Rhinolophus ferrumequinum: one gene and its partner. The protein of the gene in region 1 purifies or fractionates together with the protein of each later gene. This does not show direct contact. Links are inferred from orthologs where the notes say so. Each region holds a gene or a part of one and is shown in the gene's direction. Other genes may lie near its edges.

Region 1 (7,442 bases):
CCTTCTTAGGGTGTCAGAAACCAGTTTCTTCACCAGCTCAGCCTACCTATCATGGTCAACAAAGAAAATGAAATGAGTTTCTTTTCTCACCTGTATCCCGCTCAAAAGACAGTCATTTTTTAAATGACATCAAATGACAAGGATAAAATGGCCAGGAAAACAGACAATCAGAGGCTAGAGATGTGAAACCCGTTTTAGAAGTGGCAATGCTGACAGAAGAGTGCTCTGACGTAAGAATGGAGAACGCTGAGGCCAATGTGCGCAAGCACGGGAAGTCAAATAGAAGAAAATTAATCCCCAGCCCAGGATTGGGAATCCAAGGCCCAGGGGTGACTCTGAAAGCAAGACTTCAGAGCGGGGCAGAGCACAGAAGGAATGACTGAGTAGCTGGATACCACGACACCCCCAATTCTGTAGTTTTACTTTCTGTATAGCCATCTTTGACCCTGGTCTTTTTCTCACACCTCCACCATCAAATTTGGTTGGCTCTAGCTTCTAACACATCTAGAAAGATCTGCATCCCTCACCTTCATGACTCCATCTTCCACCACTCGCTCCCTCCATTCCAGCATCTCCTTTCCTTTACTTGAACAGGCTGAGCACACACCTACCTCTGGGCCTTGGCATAGGCTGTCCTCTCCTCCGGGAGCTCTCTCCCTCAGGTACCTTCATAGCCACCCTCTCCCTGACTTCATACGACCTACTTAGATGCCACCTTCCTTGACCACTCCGCATCTCCCTTTGCTTTATATTTCTCCAAAGCATTTCCTCACCTAACATATTATATATTTGTTTACCCCCATCTCCCCCACTGAAATGTCAGCTCCTTAGGGACAAGGGTTTGTCTTTCACTGCAATATCCCCAGAGCCCAGAACAGTCCACACAGCATAGTGGGTAACCAACACTTGTTGAAAAACTGAACTCTGCATTAGGAAATGACACAGAGGGCGGGAAGACAGAATGGTTACCACCATTGAGTAGGTTAGAGAACACCCTTAGATGGGTGGTCTCATCTTCTCCTGAAAGGGGAACACGAACACGCATGGGATCATTACACGCAGGAGTGCCCATCTCTTCCACCATGCCATGAGGGCAGAAAGTGTCACCTGTGTTCAGTTATACGCCCAGCGGATGGCACATCATAGGTGCTCAGTAAATGTTTGTTAGCTGAACAGGCGAGGGCAAGCTCAGTCAGAAAAGGAGGAACCTAAAGTGAGGAACAGTGGGGTGCCGACAGTAAAAGGGTGGGGAGCCCAAAGCCAGGGACCAAGCCTGAGTCCATGCTGTGGAATGCCTTGAATGAAAGAAAGCTAAGGCCTTTAAAGTGAAGGTTGGGTGGTGGGTGGACCCCTGAAGTAAATTTGCACAGGCAAGTGATACACTCAGAACAGAGGGCAGGCATGTGTATAAGTTTACTCAATAAAGATCTGGGTGCCCACTTGTACACCAGCCCATGTGCTAGATGCTGGGTATATGGCACATCTAGTGCTCTTAGCTTCGTGGGAGAAGACAGTCAGGAAATAAGATGACAAAAATAAATAAGGTAATTTCAGAAAATTTAGTATGTAGGGGCCGGTCCGGTGGCTCAGGCGGTTAGAGCTCCGTGCTCCTAACTCCGAAGGCTGCCGGTTTGATTCCCACATGGGCCAGTGGGCTCTCAGCCACAAGGTTGCCAGTTCAATTCCTGGAGTCCTGCAAGGGATAGTGGGCAGCGCCCCCTGCAACTAAGATTGAACACGGCTCCTTGAGCTGAGCTGCCGCTGAGCTCCCAGATGGCTCACTTGGTTGGAGCACGTCCTCTCAACCACAAGGTTGCCAGTTCAACTCCCACAAGGGACGGTGGGCAGCGCCCCCTGCAACTAGAAAATGGCAACTGGACCTGGAGCTGAGCTGCGCCCGACACAACTAAGACTGAAAGGACAACTTGAAGCTGAACGGCACCCTCCACAACTATGATTGAAAGGACAACAACTTGACTTGGAAAAAAGGCCTGGAGGTGAACACTGTTCCCCAATAAAGTCCTGTTCCCCTTCCCCAATAAAAAAAAAAAGAATTAGTGTGTGAAAGACAGAGGGTCAGGGAAGACCTCTCATAGGTGACATCTGAGCTGAATCCTAAAGGATGAGTAGCCAGCTATGGCAAGAGCTGAAGGCTGCTGCTGACAAAGGGAACAGCCAAAAGGCCAATGTGGCTGAGCAATGACAGAGATCAGAGATCAGGCTGGAGCTAGATCAGGCAGGACTGGATCATATAAGCCCTTATACAGCAAGGAGTTGGGGGTCATTTTCCTAAGTCCCAAGAGAAGCATAAAAAATTGGTGGACAGAAAAATAAAAAGTTGGGGATTTAGGGGACTGTAATATGGATAAGATAAAACCTAGTGAAGGCCTGAGTGCTTTCAATTCTTATCCCTAAACTAAGAAAAAGATCTTTGACCCAGGAAAAGATAAGCCATGCTTTGGTAGACGATGGAACCTGCCTCTCCTTCCCAGAGAACCTGTGACTCCTAGAAATTCTCGAGGGCAAGGAGGGTTCTTATTTATCTGCGCAGCCTCATTATACCAAAACGGCTCAAAATTACTTCCTACACGATGAAGAAAATTAGAGACTCAGAGAAAGAAAATTAAAAACACACCTATTTTTCTAATAAAGTGGTGAGGGCAGAGAACTTTTGTTCATGGCACAATTAAAAACAAATAGAAATAATACTCTCATTAGCAATATCAGTGAGTATTACAGCTTTATAACCCAGGAAAGGAGGAGGAATTCTAAAAGCCAGGTGGGGTGGGGAAAAAGGCTTAGCATTTTACACAGAGATGTTTCCCTAACTTGATGTATGATCTTGGGTAGATCATCTTCTCTGGGTTTCAGATTCCCTGAATTAAACTGAGGGCGATGGACTGACTATTCACCAAAGAATTTCTGGGTGAGTTCCAACTCTCTCTGTAGCTTCTCAGGTGTCCACCATCCCCATCACCTGACACAGAGAAGGTTCTTCATGAATACCTGCTGAATGAATGAAGAGAAAAAAAACTTTTTTCTTTTTTTTTAAGGAGGGCGCAGCTCACAGTGGCCCATGCACAGATCCAACCGGCAACCTGGGTGTTATTAGCACCAGGCTCTAACTGAGCTAACCCGCAACCCGCAAGGCCAACTTCTTTTAACTTCTCATTTTACAAGATTGGAAACTGAGGCCTGAAGGGGTTAGGTAGAGGCTCAGGGACAAATGTCGAGCCAGTAAGTGGGCCTGGAGAATTCTGAACTGAGTCCAACTTTTTTGGGGGTGCGGGTGGGGGATGGGGTGTCTTTCCAGCAGAGGGCTTCCAGAAATCCACTAGGCACCAGATTGGACAGTGCAGTTCTGGAATCTGACTGCGAGGGCTCAAACCCCAGCTCCTACTTCCCCACCGCGTGGCTTTAGCCAAGTCACTTGTGTCTTACCAGAGCCTGATTTATAAAGGTCACTGCGAGATCAATGAGAGAAGTCATATAAAAAGCTCCTTGAAGAGTGCCTGATATGCAGTTGGGGCTCACTAAATATTCCTGTTGTTGGTACTTCTACCACTCTAGCACAACACCTAACCCGAGTGGTTACTTTTCAAAACAGTTAAAAGGCGCGTGCAAGTGGAAACACGTGGTATGTGTTTAAGAGCGATAGTAATAATTAATGACAATAATTTCCCAGTTGAGAGCCAGATGAAACGTGCTTAGCACTCCCTTTACCAGCTCGGGTCTAAATGATGAAATCTCCCACGAGCTTGGTTGGTCCCTATGAGGTCCGGGTTCGAGTCTCACCGTGACCTTGGCACAGCCTCATTCCTCCCAGTGTCAGTTTTCTCACCTGCAGAACCGGGGTGGCAACCTCACCGCCCAGCCCGCTCCAAATTTCCCGAGAGTACCCGGGACCACCTCAGGTTGCCCATGCCGGCAGTGAGGTCGCGGGGCGCCGAGGCCTGCGGGGGTAGTAGAGACCGCGCGTGTCCCCTGCAGGCCCTCGTAGGCCGGTCTCCAAGGCAGCTCACCCTCCTTACCTTCCTGCCGGCAGTAGGCCATGGCTGCAGCCCAACGTCTGACTCTGCACAGTAGCGGCGGCGGAGGCCGCTACACGCCGTGACCTCTCCTCAGGTAGGGCGGGAAGCTCTGAGGCCCGTGCGGACCCGCCCCCTCCAGGCCTGCCCGCCGCGCGCCTGCCTCCGTGCCTTTCCAGCCCCAGCCCGATCCTCTCAGCCGGGAACTACATTTCCCAGCAGGCTGCGCGCTGCCCGGCTACTCTCCAGGCAGTAGGAACTACACTTCCCAGAAAGCTTGCAGTGCGCAGGCGCATCAATGACAAGCAATGCATTTTGCAACTTTGTGAAGAAAGGACCTGACCCCGGACTACAGTTTCCAGAAGACCTTGAGGCGCGCATGAGCAGAAAAGCCGGGGACCACGGGGCGGTAACATCGTAGCGCGTCCTCTCTGGTTCTGGGCTTCACGCTGGTTTTCTCAGCTCTTGGGCAGACGACAGACCTCTGGACTCCGCACTCTGTAAAGCCCTTTCCTAGCTGAATAGAACGAGACAGGGCGGCGAGCCGGGTCCCACCATGGCCGCGAATGTAAGTGTCTGCTGATCCGCCGGGCCACACCCAAACTTCCCCTTGTCCCGGGGCCTTCTCTTCCAAGGGGCCGCCTAGGTCCATTTTGCTTGTCTGCCTCTTGTCCGTGCAGCCGACTCCCTATCTTCCTCTGCATGCAGTGTCTATGCCTAACGGCAGCTAGTCCGTCTGTTCATTTCTCTTAGCCTGTCCCGACTCCTTCTGTCCGTGTCCTTTGGTCCACCTCATCCTGGGGTCGCGCGTTTGCGGGGAGGGAGACTCAGGAGGGGTTGCGGGCATTGCGATCTACTTGTGCGCGGCGCCTCCCTGCAGCCCGTCCTTTCGTTCCCAGTTCCCTCCTGGGCTCTTGGAGTTCTCAAATTTGCAGATTTAGAGAGCTGGACGAAACTTCAGAGAGGAGTGTCGTCCTCAGCAAGGGTGGGGAAGCCGATGCGCCCAGGTGGAGCTGTCCAGCAACGGACAGACAGGGCTGTCCCGGCGGGCGTTTAGCTCCCCGTCCTAGCTGGTATGCGAACCGAGGCTATGATGCTGCGAAGGGGCACAGGCTTGGTTGGGAGCGGAGGAGTTAGAATGGCTGTGAGAGGGAGCATGGCCCTATTGCTGGGCTCTCCTCCTTCTAGCGCGGATTTAGTTAGAGAGGTCCCGACTGAAGGTGGTTCCTTTCAAAAGGCCGCTGGCCGCTTCGTCCTGCAGCCAACCTTTCTCAGGAACCTTTCTATTTAAGCCCAACATTCATTCAACAAAACGAGCAGCACATCCCACCAGAGTTCTGGGTGTGAGAAAAACTGTGACTCACCACTCCCCTCCTCTGTGAAAGTGCTGCTGGAGCCAGCTCGGGAGCCCTGCCAGCCCCAGACACTCCCTCCCTCCCTCCTGCTTTGGTGGAGTGTCCTACCCACTCTCTCCTAGCCTGGTACACCCTCTCTCCAGGCACCTTCTCTGCCCCCAAGGGTCTTCTCTGCCCGCCGCACCCTCTGAGAGACAAGGTTTGTGTCACTACAGCCCTAGTGTATACTCTGCTCCACGTTAGACTTGTCGTGGAGGCCTTGACGTCTTGAATGCTGTACCTAGAAGCCTCACACCCTGAGACCCAGGATCTGCCAGGGGAGAGGGCAATCAGGAGATTGGCTTGTCCCCAGAGGTGGCCTCCTGTCTGCCCCCACACCACCACATAGGGAATTTCCCCAGCAGAGTAAGGCACTTGCCCAGCTTTCACAGCCAGCTTGGCCGGTTACATCCTGGGAAGCTGCTGAAATCGGCAGCCTTTGGAGTCAGGCAGACCTGGGGGCAAATCCAGTTTCATCCTCTCTATAGTTGTGTGGCCATACTGGGAAGGTTAAGGGAAATTGTGCTTTGCACAGTGCCTGGTGCATAGTAGGTAGTTAATACATGAAAATGCCTCTTCACAGTCTAACACGATGGTCCTGGTGGGCAGAGACCATCTTGGGTATGTTGAAACCTGACCTTTGCCGAGGAATATCAATGAGTTTGGATATCCTCCGCGGCCAAGTCTTTGTTGATTCATCTAGTAGCCTGATGTGTGTTTATGGGAGCTGCCAGGCCAGTGAGGAAGATGGTGGGGTGGAGCAGGGAGGTGACAGAATTCTTCATCAATGTAACAACTGTCCTGTGACAGATACTACTTACTGTCTCCATTTTATGTGAGTAAACAAGATCAGAGAGGTAGAGCAACTTACACAGCAAGTCATTTTCAGGCCTATACATCGACCTCTGTTCCCACCCCTCATTGCTTCTGAGCCCAAAGTGCTGGGACTGGGGGCGGAGGTCGGTATGTGTCACTGAGGATACATTTAGGTATTCAGCACACATCAAGGAGCCAATACCAAGATTGGGAGCTCAAAGATGGCCTTGAAGAGAAGGAAGAAAGGCTCAAGAGGGTGCCCCTCAGGCTAGAGGAGGTACAAGGGTGAGTAGTGAGGAATGGGCAGAGGAAATCTCCATCATCCTGTTTATAGGGAAGTTGGTTGAGAATGTGGGCTGATGTGTCCTGTCACTACGCACTTTACTCCTCCCCTCGTTTGGGCCTTTCTGCCTTCTCTTCAAAGCCATCTTCGAGCCCGTTGTCTTGACGTTGGTTCCTAGATAGATGCTGAGGGGAGGCCCAGAAGGAAGCCATGCCTTCCAGCCCCCAAGTTTGGGGCTGCACTGGTAACAGCAGGACTGGCTCCGTTTCCTGTCACTGTCTGCAGTTGGCTCCCAATATTCTGCTCTTGTTATATCCCAAGAAGTGAAGAATGCCGGGCCGGGCGGAGCAGAGTGTTAGGAGAGTGGCCTCCTGTCTGGCCTGATGACTTAACTGCTGAGCCTCGGTTTTCTCATCTGTGAAATGGGGTAGTGATAGCGCCGATGACCGGCCTGTGATAGACTGGTGTGTTTGCCATTGTCATCATTATGATGGCTGATGGTCACCTACCTGCCTACAGTGAATTGCTCCACTGATGTTTCCAAATGGCGTGGAAAGTCAAGACCATTTCTGAATGTAATGTACATCTGGTCCTTGGCAGGCCTGGGCTGGTGGCATTTGGGGACAGTCAGAGAACATGGCATCAGCCTTGTTCCAATGGAGACTGACTTGAATCTCTCCTCTGACCCTCACTCCACCCCCTGTGACAGGATGGGACCTGGCTCACCCTGAGTGCTCATCTGACCCCCAGCCTTGGTACCAGCCTTGGTGTCAGTTACAGAGAAAGCTGATAACCTTTCCACCAGCTAGCACCTGTGCTCTAGGCACTGGACCATCCAATAATTAGGCCCTTTCGTTCTCACTACAACTCTATGTATTAGATTGTTATCCCCGTTAGATTATTATCCCCGTTTTACCAACA
Region 2 (6,893 bases), on another chromosome or scaffold:
ATCAGAAGGTGAGCTGATACTTGGTCAAAGCCGATGGACCCAGGAGGGTCTTTTGGTTTCAGGAGGGTTGTGCTGTAAAGGTTCTGTACCCTGAAGATGCTGCCTTGATTTAGAATTGAATTGCCAAGTTGAACCTTGCAGCTAACCTATCTATAAACTACATTTCATCTTTCTGAAAATAAAACCAAAGCCCTAAAATACCTGTGTTGTAATTTCCAGATTTTTGTAATTGTGGGTTATCAGTTTTTTTCCTAAATGAAAGTCTGGCCACCTACCTAAAGAGGAACTCTATGGAAGAAACGAACGAATTTACTGAGTTTTGCAATAGGTTAGGTACTTCATATTGGTTATTTAATTATTTAATTTAATTCTCATGTCAACAATATGAGGTAGGTATTACTGCCTTTTTGCAGATGAGAGATTTAAGGTTCAGAAAGCTCATGTAACTTGTAAGTGGCAGAGCTCAAATTTAAACCAAAGTCTCTTGATGCCCAAACCTATGCTTTTTCCATTTATCTGCACTTTTGGAGCTTTTTTACAATTCGCATAAGCTGTTACATGCAGACTAAGACAGACACACATAGGTAGAGATAGGACTGAATATTTTCCTTAATTATTTTTTAGTGACAAACAGTAATTGTTTTAAACTCATAAGTAATATTAATGGAATAGATACTTGGACAGATGGATTTCTGAAATAAATGTTTAAAGTTCTGTGTTTAAAATACAGATGACCTGGTACCTTAGACAGGGAGTTCCAGGACAGCTGAGACCATATTTTATTCACTCTGTGTCCCCAGCAATTAGCACTGAGCCTGGCCCACAAGGGGAAGGGGGGCACTCAGTGTTTGTTGAATGAATAACTAAGTTTCTCTTCTATGCACATCAGTATTTGGAAGAAAGAGATCATCTACTTAATTTAAACAGACTTCCTTCACCCACTGAGCGGACTGTTGTCTTCAGTAATATTGCCGTAGACTGAAGGTTTTGTGTCCCCTCAAAGTTCAGACATTGGAACTTATTGCATGATTGTGTTCAGAAGTAGGGCCTTTGGAAAGTAATTAGGTTGGAGAGTGGAGTCCTCACGAAAGTGATTAGTGCTCTTATAAAAGAGACCCCAGAGAGCTCACTTGCCCCTTCTATGTGGGGATACCTGTCTATGAACCAGGAAGTGAGCTCTCACCAGACACTGATTCTACTGGCGCTTTGATCTTGGACTTCCCAGCCTCCAGAACTGTGCAAAATAAATGTTTGTTGTTTATAAGCAACCCAGTCTATGACATTTTGTTTTAGCCTGAAAGGACTACGACAAATATTAAATAATATTAATACAGGTTAGGCAAGAGAGCCAAGCCAAGCAATTTATCCATATCTGAGAATGTAGATTTTGGTCATCTTGCTTCATCAGAAACTTCATTTCGTATTTGTAGCATAAGGTAGAATGACTTAGTGATCTATGAATAACTAGTGAAAATGAAATCCTCCTGAGATTTTTCTAAAATTTATACTTACTAAATCTACAGTGGTTTCCAAACTGCAACTGACTTTAATATTATTTGTTTTAAAAAAGTACTTTGGTTTTCTCTCTTCCAAGATAGTTTCTCTATATAAAATTTTAAATATATAAAAATAGAATAAAATAATTTTACTTATCCTATCATACAAAGACAATTATTGAACTCTCTCAGTCTCCTATTATCCTTTGCATATGTTCACACAGTGTGATCATATGATGGATGACATTTTTTATTCTACTTTCCTAATTTTTCTATTAGAATTATGTTAATAGCACTTTAACAAAAAGTTTCCTTTTTTTCCTGGAAAGTTTTTTTTGTTGTTGTTTTGTTTTTTTACTTTCTTAATACAAAGGCAATATGTATTCTAGATAAATAAAAATATACAGATCAAAAACATAAATATTACTTAAAATGGAGAAACTTAAAAATGGGGAAGTTTAAAACAGAATGTTGTACATTCTCACATTGACAGCTGAATACAATTTTAAAGGGAACATGTAATCAGCAAGAAACAAAAAGCCAGGGAAGTTCGTTTATTCCCTTTTCTAAATATACAATATTCACTCATGTCTGCATGTCTGTTATCTGAATAAACTCTTTTTGGGGCGCAGAAATTGAGCTAAATTAAGGTTGGTGGGAAGAGGCTTGAGAGTCTCTTTAATTTCAGAGACATTAAAATGTGAAAAAAATGCATATCTTAGAATCAATGAAACATGGTATATGAATACATTTAAAACTTAAAACAACACTAGGAGGTAGGTTCATTATCCTCATTTTATAGATGAGAGAATTGAGGCATAAAGAGACTCAATAATTTGCCCAAGATCACACGGCCATTAAAAGGAGACAGCATTACTGTCTCCCAGACAATCTGACTCCAGAGTTCATTCTCATAATCACTACACTCTTCTCCCTATAGATATGGAAAGCCAAAAAAAAGTTTCAGAAAAATTATTTTAAAAACTTTTATTTATGAATTTATTTTTTATTGAGGTATATCAAAAAATTGTTTCAAATATTTCTCTGCATGAAGAATTCAAAGCTATTCCAGGCCGAAGTAATTCTCTAACATCTGGACAAATACCCAAAAGACAGTTGAACACTCCAGAAGTGCCCATTAGTTGGACCAGGTGTCTTTTTTAGTGCAGTCTAATGGGGAGAGAGTGTGTATGTACACACAGGTGCACTTCTTCCAGGGGCATTGAAGTTGTCTAATATTACTTTTAGACATCATCCAAAGTGTAGCTTTGCTAGAAAGAAGACAGCTCTGCCCACAATTTTAGTTGAGCATGACTCAGCCTTCTGTTGGCCTGGGTGTCAACAACCCTTTTGACTCAGAGGCCTTCTGCCTCTCACTAGAGGATTTGAAGCAGGCATGCTTTCTTAGATTTAGTCACTATTAGGAAAATAAATCAGGAGTACTCAGCCTCCTCACCTCTCCTAGTAATCCAAAGGGGGTTAATTTACTTATTATTTGTCAAGTTCATACGCGTGCTAGACAATCTACAGATAGGAGAGCCAAAGAAGTAGCTTCAGGCACCTAGAAATTATTATTCTAGTTTATGAGCCACTATTGCAATGTACGTTATCATTAAGTGTGATTTTCTATTATACCATTCCCATTGTCTTTCCAGATTAGCTTCTCCCCAGATTAGCATAGGTGACCCTTTTCTGCCCTCATCACACACTTCCTTCACACTGTATTGTAGTTGCTTGTCCATCTGTCTTTCCTACCAACTTCAAGTTCTGTGGTACAATGGTCTATGTCAGTCTTGCACTGGAATGAAGCTGGAGACAGCATGAAGTCAATGTTAAACAACTCATTGGCTGCGTGAAAGTTCCCAGCATTGCCCTTACTTGGTCGAAGGCAGAGCAGCTCGCCCTGTTAATGTCGTCCTTTAGGTCTCAGCTCAGGCACCACTTCTTCAAGCAAACCCCAGACCATACCTGAATCGCTGTAGCGGTCTGGTTCTCATAGATCCATGTTCAGTGTTTAATCATTCCTTTACTAGAATGCTTCTTTGACTAATGACAAGCTTTCTCACTAGACTGTCGTCTTCATGACCACAGGGACTCTGACCTTATTTACCACTGAACCCTGCCACCTGACCCAGGCTGGCACGTAGGCGCTCAGTGGGATGAATGAAGCAATGAATCAATGAATCTATTAACCAATGATGCTGGCTGGTCTTCTTGTTTTCTTGGTATGGATTTTGTTTCTAAGCTTTGCCCCAAGTGAACCACAAGGGCCATTATATCTATCTAGGTTAAGAATTTCCTATAACAGGATTTCTTAACTTGGGTCTCCGGGCTTCTGATCTGCCATAAGGCATCAAAATTGTGTGCCTGTGAAAGCGGTTGAGCATTTCGTTGGGAGGGGAGACTAATTTTCATTGGATTTCAGAGGAGGTCTCTGCCCAGCCACTAAGAAGAACCACAGTTCCGTGAGCATCTCACACCGCCCCTTTGCATTCCCGAGGGTCCCTGGGGCACGCAGCCCAAGGGACCGTCCCTTCCCAGTCCTTCGGATAAGGCTGACTCCGCTCAAATTTTCCACTCTTCGGAGCGCGCGTTCCTGCGGACTGCGGAGACGAGGCAGTGCAGTGGCAGGTGCCCTGCGTCTCCAGGCCGGCCTACAGCCCGGGGGACGTTGCCAGCATCCTCCGGCCCCGGCACTGGGCCTCTGCAGCCATCTTCAGGGAGGGAGGGTGCGCAGGAGGCGCGGCTCGGGGACGTGGACCCGCCCCTGCCGCCGGGGCCGCCCAGCTTGGCCCAGCTCAGCAGCGCCGCGCCGGGGTTCCGACTTCCCCTCCCAGCCGCGCCGCGGCCTCGAGCTCCCCTCCCGGCCCGCAGAGCCCGCGCTGTGGCCGCCCCGCGCTCGCAGAGGCCGCCATGGGCCCCGCGCGCTGGCTCGCGCTGGGCAGCATCCTCGCCCTGGGCGCGCTGCTGGAAGGCCGGCTGGTGGGCCAGGAGGACGCCGGCTTTGGAGAATGTGACCAGTTCTTCTATGCCCAGACCCCTCCTGCGGGGCTGGCGGCCGAGGGACACGTGAAGATCTGTCAGCGCTCCGAGGGCACTGAGCGCTTCGCCACTTTGTACAGCACCCGGGACCACATCCCCGTGTACTCGGCGTTCCGCGCCCCGCGCCTGGCGCCCGGCGGCGCTGAAGAGCGCTGGCTGGTGGAGCCGCAGGTAAGCAAGGTGGTCCCCCAGCCCGACAGCGGGGCTGGCCTCCAAGGGCGCTTTGCTGCCACCGCTAGGGGTAGGGCGGGAAAAGGGAGCCCCCACGCCCTCAGCGGCAGAGTCAGGAAACGCGGGTTTCGGATCCACCCCACTGCGCCCCCGGAGTTACAGCGTACCTCGCCCGCCCCTGTCAACGCCACCGCTGGAGCTCAGCGATCTGTGAGCTTTCACTTAAACCGCACGGACGGAGGTCTCCAGTGGGCGGTTCCCAGTGGGAGGTGGTTCTCCCTACATTTCTGTGTAGACATCTGCAGTGTCTCATTCATTTCCTGGATAGCGAGGATGGTGCGACCGAGACCCAGGAGACCATTCATCTCAGCAGGAAGCCTAAGCTGGGAGCTTAAAGGCCTTGGAGCAGGCCATTGCCACAATTTGGGGGCAATGGGAAGGTGCGTGGCATTTTCATGCCCATTTTGCAAAAGGGTAGATCAAGACCTGGGGTGGTGAAAAGACTTGCAGAAGACCACCCAGCTGGTAAGAGAGGATAGGTCTTTTGGCTAGAAGTTCACTGCCCTTTATATTAGGGGAAAGCTTCCATTTTGCAGAGGCCGCGTACAGCTCAAAATCCTTCCTATCTGTGCACGACATCAAGTAAATTCGGTCTGAAGTGTGTTGAGTTAGGACAATAAAGGTATAGATGTTTAGAAAGGCAATGGGATAATTATAAATGATAGGGAAACACTGACTACTTACAATTAATGGGGAGGACAAACCAGTTTTTCCTGGCTATATTATCAGACTACTTGTAAATCATGTCACCTCTCAGGGTGTACTGTCCTGTCTGGTAAGGGTGACCAAACACTTAGGCCCCCAGATGCCCTGCTGACCCTGACTTAACACATCTTGCCCCACCTCTGCTCAGCCAGCCTCCTCTCTAGAGCATCCAGCCAGCCTCCCCTCTGGCCATTTCTTGCCCTCACCGGCCTCCCACCTGCCTCTGCACCTGCCACAGCTTGCCAAGGCCACCCTAGCTGGGGGAGGAGCTGACCCACTCAGCCAGCTATTCCTGATGGCCACAGCTGCCCGGAACCACATGGGTGAACAGGAGACCCACTTTCGGGTGCTTCATTCAGAACCCTGGGCTGTAATCTCTGTGATCTCATTCAGATATTTCTAGCTCTGAGAGCTTGACTGGATCTCATGCAATCTGCACCTTAGTCTCCTTACCTTCTCTGCATCCATTCCACGCCCCCTCGCCTGCTGATGTCAGGACCTATGAGATCAGGCATCTGAAAAAACCCTTTGTAAATTGTGCACCCTTAAGACATATATTAATCAAAAACTAGTTTGCCCCCCACTGCACCCCTTGGAGCTCTCTTCTTCTTCCCCAGCTCGTTATGCATTGTGATTGTGGGCCTGTGGAATAAAACAGATGATCTGGTCTTTCTCCTTGAAGATCCCATGGATGCCTTGGGGAGGAAAATCATACCCTATTTTCCCGAAAATAAGACCTAACCGGACAATCAGCTCTACTGTGTCTTTTGGAGCAAAAATTAACATAAGACCTGGTATTATATATTACGTTATGTTATATTTATTATATTATATAAGACCCGGTCTTAGAGTATAGTAAAATAAAACCGGGTCTTATATTAATTTTTGCTCCAAAAGACGCATTAGAGCTGATTGTCCGGCTAGGTCTTATTTTGGGGAAACAAGTGAGGAAGACACGGGAATGCATGCGAAACAAATTTCAGTTAAATTCAGAACACATTTAGTAATCACCTGCTGTGTGCCAGGCACTTAGAGTACCAGGAGAACAGAGTGTAGCTCTTGAACTTCAAAGGCTTCCTGGTCTGTAGATGAAGCATGCTGGGTGGAGAGGTGGTGCTTAGAGACATGCTGTGTGTGTTCAAGTCTTAGTTCCTCCACTGACTAGCTGTAAACCTGGAGATAATAACAGGGTAGATGGGTAGATTAAATGAGTTATTACATAGAAGGTTCTCTGAGAGGTGCCTGGCACCTAAGTACTAGCTGTTATGGTGACACGAGCAAAAGCCCATAATTTACTAAAGGTAAACAAAGTCCTACTGAATGTAACCTGTCTTGGAGCTGATAGGGGAAAGCCTCAGGGTCAGGATGACATTTGAGCTGTGCCTGGAAGGATGAGGGGAGTTCAGAAGGGACACGAGG

The links.
Region 2: the proteins of TMEM43 (region 1) and ENDOD1 purify together in Homo sapiens (affinity purification with mass spectrometry; 3 studies listed by BioGRID and IntAct, with this or other methods). This does not show direct contact. The link is inferred for Rhinolophus ferrumequinum from reciprocal best matches to the Homo sapiens genes TMEM43 and ENDOD1.

What each region holds. Positions count from the first base shown.
Region 1 is NC_046300.1:40,404,394-40,411,835, forward strand, and holds the start of TMEM43 (transmembrane protein 43), read left to right. Parts: upstream 1-4,429; 5' UTR 4,430-4,584; coding exon 4,585-4,596; intron 4,597-7,442. Other genes in the region: CHCHD4 (mitochondrial intermembrane space import and assembly protein 40), read right to left, coding at 4,032-4,053. UniProt on the Homo sapiens protein: May have an important role in maintaining nuclear envelope structure by organizing protein complexes at the inner nuclear membrane. Required for retaining emerin at the inner nuclear membrane.
Region 2 is NC_046294.1:65,825,314-65,832,206, forward strand, and holds the start of ENDOD1 (endonuclease domain-containing 1 protein), read left to right. Parts: upstream 1-3,883; 5' UTR 3,884-4,409; coding exon 4,410-4,709; intron 4,710-6,893. UniProt on the Homo sapiens protein: May act as a DNase and a RNase. Plays a role in the modulation of innate immune signaling through the cGAS-STING pathway by interacting with RNF26.